Sus scrofa: one gene and its partner. The protein of the gene in region 1 interacts with the protein of each later gene in a pairwise test. Links are inferred from orthologs where the notes say so. Each region holds a gene or a part of one and is shown on either strand. Other genes may lie near its edges.

The links.
Region 2: the proteins of DMRT3 (region 1) and MGAT5B interact in a two-hybrid assay, tested with the Homo sapiens proteins (2 studies listed by BioGRID). The two-hybrid records come from large-scale screens. The link is inferred for Sus scrofa from reciprocal best matches to the Homo sapiens genes DMRT3 and MGAT5B.

Annotation. Positions count from the first base shown.
Region 1 is NC_010443.5:220,818,884-220,821,717, forward strand, and holds the end of DMRT3 (doublesex- and mab-3-related transcription factor 3), read right to left. Parts: intron 2,639-2,834; coding exon 1,674-2,638; 3' UTR 642-1,673; downstream 1-641. UniProt on the Homo sapiens protein: Probable transcription factor that plays a role in configuring the spinal circuits controlling stride in vertebrates.
Region 2 is NC_010454.4:4,727,252-4,731,789, reverse strand, and holds the start of MGAT5B (alpha-1,6-mannosylglycoprotein 6-beta-N-acetylglucosaminyltransferase B), read left to right. Parts: upstream 1-1,694; 5' UTR 1,695-2,005; coding exon 2,006-2,073; intron 2,074-4,538. UniProt on the Homo sapiens protein: Glycosyltransferase that acts on alpha-linked mannose of N-glycans and O-mannosyl glycans.

The DNA of each region.
Region 1 (2,834 bases):
ATCTCAGGCCAAGAGGATCTACCCTTCTCCCTCCCAGACTGAAGAACATTTGGAGACTTATTCTTGCCCTGGGAGCTCTCTCTGCATCCTTGTCATGTAGAGGCTTTTATTTATTTTCTTATTTACTTTCCCTTCCACGTTCATAAGTTTATTGTCTGACCTGAGCAGTCATCTTTCTTCTCAAGCACTCAGGAGAGTGGAAACAGTAAGAAATGGTTGGTGGGAACACCACTGCACATTATTAAAACTCACTTTTAAAAATACCTGAGCAAAAAAGTGAATAAAAACAAATGAAATAAATAAAATAAAAATATCTGAGCAAGAGGTTTGCCATATTAGTGTCCTCCCCCTGAAATGCTTTTTTAAATGAAGGGGAAAAGCCCTGTTTCCAATGGTTTGTTGCAGTCACCTCCTAAACTGCAATGGCATCTTCTCCAACTGAGAATGAGGAAATTCACTTCTGCATCCTGACGGCAAATAGCAGAATATATTGAACTGAATAGGAGGAACTGCTCTCGTTGATTGAGTGCTGTCTCTATGTTGGGTACCATGCTAAGCACTGTGCTTACTTCCCACACTGCAGATTGTTTCATTTTTACTTTGTTTTTAATGAGATTCTCCATCATGTAATCCCTGCCATCTTCAACTCATGGGCAGGTAACTTGGTCAATAGCAGACAAAGAGCCTTGTCTTACACATAGTAGGCTCTCGATAAGTATCTTTTGAAGAAACAAACAAATGGATGGATAGCTGAGTTATCTCTATTCTTGAACAATACATTCTATCTTTCTGAATGCAGTCCCCAAAACTTTGCCATTCATTTTTCTCGAGGAATGTCGCATTCAACGGAAACCTTGATCCATGCATTAGAAAGCAGCTTTTATATCAAGTTTCTATTTTAGACATCCTCTTTCAACAAACAGAAATGACATAAACCAAGATCATCTCCTTAGTTTATTTTTTTCCTAGGCTCCTTAGCATGCTACATTAACCTGACAAAGCTTAATCTTGTGTTCATTTCACAATACAGTTCATGCAGTTCACAGCTGTGATTGGTTTTACATTGACATAACACATGTTTCGATTCAGCCATGTGAAAAGAATAATTCTTAATGGAGTTTGTCTCTGAAAACTGTCCAAGCTTAAATAAGCATGAGAGCAGTTCACTCTATTAAATGCAGTTTCTCTTTAAAATGCAAGAAGAATATTTAGCACATGAATATAAGGTCCCTGTTTATAGTCTGTTTGCAACTGAACCACTTCCTTGAGGTTTCACATATCCTGAGGAATCCTCCTTTACAAAATTGCATTCAAGTATACTATTTTATTGAACATTCCAGATTGAGTTTAGGAGCAAGGCTGACCTTCAGCTTTACATCCCCAAATAAATCTTCCATGGGCCCAAGGCTTTCTCGCCTATTCTTAGCATTAGACTCTCTTTTACAATGAACATTCAGCACTAAAGCCACAGAGCAGAGCTATTTGGCATTTTCCAGTGAAGTGCAAGAAATTAAATAAGTTATGTTTTTATTGCTAAGGTATAGAATCAAGCACAGTCACTTTGTCAAACAGAAGGAAAAGGTATACACAGGATGTGGGCCCTCCTCAAGGGGGAGCCCGGGGTTCAAATGCACAGAAAATGTCACCTGGTCACCACCCATCAGGCGCCACTTCTAAGATGATGTGTTGAGTATTCTAGAGTCTGAGGAGTCAGACCTCTCATCATAGTCGTCCTCGGTGTAAATGGACTGCTTTGACACAATGGGACACCCATCCTCAGGGATGGAAATCCTAGGGTCTTCTGGGGCACGGGCAGGGAGGACAGGTGAGCTTCTGAAGACGCTGGCTGAGTTGGTGGGGAAAGGGCTGACATACTGGGACCTCAGCTGGTACTGCTGCTGCAGCGTCATGGTGTTCCACAGGGTGACATCGTTGGGCAGAAAGGGGCTCGACTGGTTTCTCGCCAAAGTATTCCTCAGCATCAGAGGGTACCGGGGCGGCTGGGGGAAGGGGTGTTGCAGGGGCACCGCCAAGGGGTTGGGGACCACGTTACTAGAGTCCGCGGAAAACCTCAACGTGTCTGGGACCCTGAAGGCCGAGCCCACGGACCACTTGGAGGAGGAGATGGGGTAGGAGCTCAGCGTGTGCTCGAAGATGTGCCCATTGGAGGGTAACACCAGGCCCTCGGGCTCTGCTGAAGTTCGCTCTGCGGCCGAGCCGGAGGAGCGGCTGGAGAGGAGGACCTCCACGGCGCTCACCAGGTCGCCGCCACAGCCCTTGAGGATCAGCTCCAGCACCGTGGGCTTCTGGTTGGGAAATATCTTCTTTAACACTTCCAGAGGCGGCCTGTTGGCTTTCAGGCTGAAGGGCAGTGAGACGGTCCCCGAGGGGCCCTCGATCAGGAGGTGGTTCTGCTCCCCTGGATACTTGGGGCTGTCAGGGCGGCTCTCGGAGCTGCCTCCGTTCTTCTGGGCCGCGTACCCGCCTTCATCCACTGACACGATCTCAGGGCTCTCAGGGGTGAAGCAGCCCTTACTTTTGGCCACATCCGGGGAGCTCCTCTGGTCCGTGTCTTTGTCGCTGAAGGTCTCTGTGTTGTCGGTGGTGCTGCTGTCCCCAAGCCGTTCTTCAGCCAGATCTGAAAAGCACAGAGCAGCTGGGTTAATCCTTTCCTGGTGTGCATAAAGAAGAACAGATGTGCTCAAGAGAGGGTCCTACGCCGGCTTTTTAAAAGGGGAAGCGGCTTATAACATACTGCCAGCCTTTAAAAATCCCAACTATGTGATTGGCAAATGGCAAAAAATAAAAACAAAAAGAACTCTGTACATAAAGAT
Region 2 (4,538 bases), on another chromosome or scaffold:
TAACACATTAATCCGCCAACACCAATTCATCATCGTTTTTCCCATTAGCGGAGAGCAGGGCGATGAGCTAATGAAACATGGGACAGGTGAATTTTGATCGAGAAGGAGCAGGAAAAGCAGAACGTGAGTCACTGCTGGGGAGAAATGGACAGGAGGTGGGGGGAGGCAGGCCGGGTGAGCAGCAGAGGGGCTGGGGGCGGGGGGCCTAGGTGGACTGGACAAGGGCTGGGCGGCCCAGAATAAAGGTTTTCTCCTGGAGTTCCCGCTGTGGCTCAGTGGGTTGAGAACCTCACTCATATCCATGAGGATGTGAGTTCCATCCCTGGGCTCGCTCGGGGGGTCAAGGACCTGGCGTTGCTGAGAGCTGCAGCGTAGGGTGGAGATGTGGCTCGGATCTGGTGTTGCTGTGGCGGTGGTGTAGGCTGGCAGTTGTAGCTCTGATGTGACCTCCTAGCCTGGGAACTTCCATATGCTGCAGGTGCAGCCCTAAAAAGACAAAAAGGAGGTTTTCTCCTCTGGAAAGTTCTCATGTCATCCATATCATTTCACACATGGCCAGAGGCCTGGAGCTCTTCCCAGCTGGGCCTCCCATGTCTGTGCCTGGTCAGGCGTGTCCAGCAAGGGCTCTTCCTGCCTGAGCTGCCCGCTCACATCCAGGCCTGGCTCTGGGAGCTGCTCACAGGGACCTCTGCCCCCTCCCCTGCAATAGTAGACACCTCTCCAGAGTCAAGAAGCAGATGGGGGCTGGGGTTGGGGAGGAGGGGGGGTGCATTCTTTACAGAGTTGGAAGGGGCCCAAGTGAACCTGGGGCCACTCTCATTTCATAGCAGAGAAACCAGGGCCAGGGAGTCCCCCTGACTTGTACGTGTTCCTGGCTGGTTCATAGAGGGTCTGAGATGAGACGCCTCAGAGCGCGCTCCTGCTTCTCGGCTGCTTCTCGGTGGACAAGCCTGTGTCACAGGCCAACTTTGAACTCAGTAAGCGAAGGGGAGCAGCTGCAGTTTCTGTCCAGAGAGAGCCAGCGGATGGGCGAGGGCTGCGAAGCGACATCATTGTGGGTGCGAAGGGGCCGGTGCAGAAGCCCACTGCGGCAGCCGAGGCAGCGGTAGTGGCCAGAGGGAGGGCCTTGGCCCCGGGCAGAAGTGGGAGTCTCCTCCCAGCGCCGACCTCCTTTGTGCTCAGCAGGAGCCCGAGCCGCCGGAGGCCCACAGAGCTGGTGGCACCCGGATGCTTCGGAAAGCGGCGCCCGAGAAGTTGGAAGGTTGGAGGGAGACGCAGGGCCCCCGCCCCTCGGTCTCCGGAGCCCCGCCCCGGGCCGGGAGAGCGCGCTGCTGGGACGTGGCCACGAGGTGGCGCCAGCGCGCCGAGGAAGCGCCGCGGCCGCTCCTCGGCCGCCCCAGCCGCTGCTCCGCCGCCTCCTCCGAGGAAACAATGCGGCGCCTCCGGGCGTAACGCGGTGCGGGCCGGACGCCGGACACCTGGGCGCGGGCAGCCGAGCGAGCAGGCGGCAGGGCGGGCGCCGGGCTCTCTCGCCCGGAGCCATGGGCGCGGCGCGGCGCGGGGTGGAGGATCGGCGCGGCCCGGAGGCGCGGGGGGCCGGGGCGCGGGCCCGGGGCCGCCTCTAGCCGGCACCGAGGGCGCGGGCCCGGGGATGAGGGCGCCCGCGGCGGGGAGCCCGTCTGCGCGCCGCGGCGCCGTCCCGCCCAGCGAGCGAGCCCGAGCAGGCAGACGCGCGGCCGGCGGTCTGGGGGCGCGCCGTCTCCCGGCCCCCAAGATGTGAAGCGGGGAGGGCGGAGACGCAGAGACGGCCCGGCCGGGCGCCCTCGCTGCCCTCCGGCAGCCGCGCCGCTCCCCTTCCCCTGCCCGCCGAGGCCGCGCCGACCCCGACCTCGCTCCGATCCGGCTCCGGCCCGCAGCGGGTTCGCGGCCCGGACGCGGCGGGAGCAGGGCCCGGGACGGTGCGTCTGGCCTCGCCCGCGGCTCCTCGCCCAGACAAGTTTGAACAATGATCACAGTCAACCCCGATGGGAAGATAATGGTCAGAAGATGCCTGGTCACCCTGAGACCTTTTCGGTAAAGTTCTCTCCCGGTTGGCGCCGGGAGGTCTTTTTCTCCGAAGGGGCGCGGGCAGGGGCGAGTGCGGTCAGTCCCGGCCGGGGTGCCTGTCCCGGGAGCAGAGGGGGCGGTTCGTGCCTGAGCCCTTGGCGGCGGCCAGCGGGGCAGGGGAAGGGATGGAGCTGGGGCTCCGGGTCGCCTGGGGAGCGTGTGTGATCCTGGGACGTGGACCGAGTTTGGTCTAGGTTGGAGAAGACTCGGGGTGCGAAGGTGGGAATGGGGGCAGACAGCAGCCGCGTTGTGGTCCTGGGACCGGGAAGTCGCAGCAGCAGCCAGGGCGCCCCTTCCCTGCCCCTCGGGGTCCTTCGCCCCTCACCCCACCCGCCGATGGCCCCACTCCCGAGGCAAAGTTAGCGCTCAGCGCGGGGCGGCACCCCACCCGGCGGGCGCGTGGAGCCCCGAGTCGGCCCGCCCACCCCCTGCCTGTGCCTTGACCTCTACCCCAGCCTCCTGCCGGCACCCTTCTCTCTTGGCGGGGTGCGGGCCTATCGCCAAAGGGAGGGCCCCCGAAATTGGGGCAGGGGCCCTCTCTGCTGGGAATTCGATCCGCTCTCGCGGGCCTCGGAGAGGCTGGGGCAGGGGCGGCGCTGTGGGTGCAAGGGCGGAGAGAGCAGCGGAGGCAGGAGGGGCGCGAAGACCGACCCCCACCCCCACCCCCACCCCAACCTCAGCGGTCAAGGCCAGCAGGACTGTGGCCTCTTGCGGATGGCTGGGCTCTGCTGGTCCCACCCCCGGGCAGCTCTCACCCCTCCCCAACACTGTCATAGCCCGGCCTGTAGCTGGGGTTGGGGAGGGGGCGCTAAGGGAGGGGTGCCCAGCAGGGTGGGATTGCCTCCTCGCCCAGGGGCTGGTCAGCCGAGAGGGAGTAGCCAGCCAGAGAAGGTGGGGGGGGACTCACTCTGGACCTGGCCACAGGTGGGGTCCCAGCGCTATAGTTGAAGAGACAGCCTCTAGGCTGGACCACCACTGTCTGGAGGATGGGGGGGGGACAGAAGGGCTGGGGTTCCCCCAGGGTAGAGCCTTGGGCAGGTGACTGGGTGTCAGGACAACCTCCCCCACCCAACATTCCCCTGGAAAGCAGGTTGGAAGCTATTGTCTCTGAAAAGGGCCTTGTTCCTCCTGGGAAATCCTGAAATTCCTGCCCACCCAGACGGGCGAGGGGGTCCTCGGCCAGTGTCTCTTACCCAGTGTTGACCCCTCCCTTAAGGCCATGGGAAGCTCAGACGCTGACCCCAGCTCGGCTGGGCATTCCGCTGCACGATTGGAGGTGGTGGCTGAGAGCCAGGACCATGGACAGCGCCAGGTCCATAGCGGGTTCTCCCTCTGGATCCTGGGGGTGGGGGGGCTTCTTAAGGCTCTTGCCTGAAGGCAGAATTCAGAGGTGGGGTTGCATAGGCTCCCCTCCCTGCCAGGTTATCCCTGGGCCGCCCAGAGAGCACAGCCAGCAGTGAGGTCGCCAAGTCCCCTTCCGATGGGGGTCCGTAGAGCCTGCAGCTTTATCTCCCTACTTGTCAATCCTCAAGGGCAAACTAGGAGCCCTTTCCTCGCCGGCTTTCCCAGAGCCTCTGGCTCGGCCGTATTCCTTGGTTGCTTCTCGAATGTTGTCTGAGTGGATACATGGTTGGACGAAACCATTTTAACTTGAAGCTACGATAAATGGCCCCGGGATTGGGGGTCTGGCAGAGAGGCAGGTGAGGTATTTGGGGGCTTCAGGTCCTGGGCTGAAGGCCTAGGTTCCTTTCTCACAGGAGGTCTTTGGACGCTGGCTGCCCAGGTCCCCGGTTCTGAATACAGAGCTGGGGAAGGGAAGCGAGGGTGGGGACAAGACGTTCGAAGCGCTCCATCCTTGTCCCCAGGCTGGGAGGACAAACTGCTGCTTCCTCCCAAGATCTTCCTGGGGGAGGGACCATGCTCCTGCTCCACTGTCCCTCTGGCTGCTGGCCTGAGGCCAGCTTGACTTTGTCTTGGGGATCCAGGGAGGGGTCCCGGGAGCTGAGGGAGCAGTGTTCCCCTGTGGCGTCTTGCCTGTCGTCTCCTGGGGGAAGCTTCCAGGGCCATCTCTGCTTTGGGGTTCTGCCCCCTTCGCTCTGCCATACCCTCTAACAGCTGCCTTTAAACACAGATTGGGGATTTGGCTGTGCTTTTATTTTCTTCCGCAATTATGTGTTTTCTTTAATGGACCAAATTTTAATTAAATACGGCTCTGCCAGTTTCAAATAATGAAGATTAAAATGCATAAAGCAAGTCTTGCGTAGAGATACAAACACATATGGGGTTAGTGGATGGAGGTGGGTGGGTGGGGGGCAGGAGGGCTGAGGTCTCTGGCATGGCTGGTGGGGCTCCCCCTGGTGCATCCGGCTACACAGGAGATGAGTCGCCCAGACCTGGGCGGGGGGGTGGCTCCCCTTTCAGCCCTGCCAGCT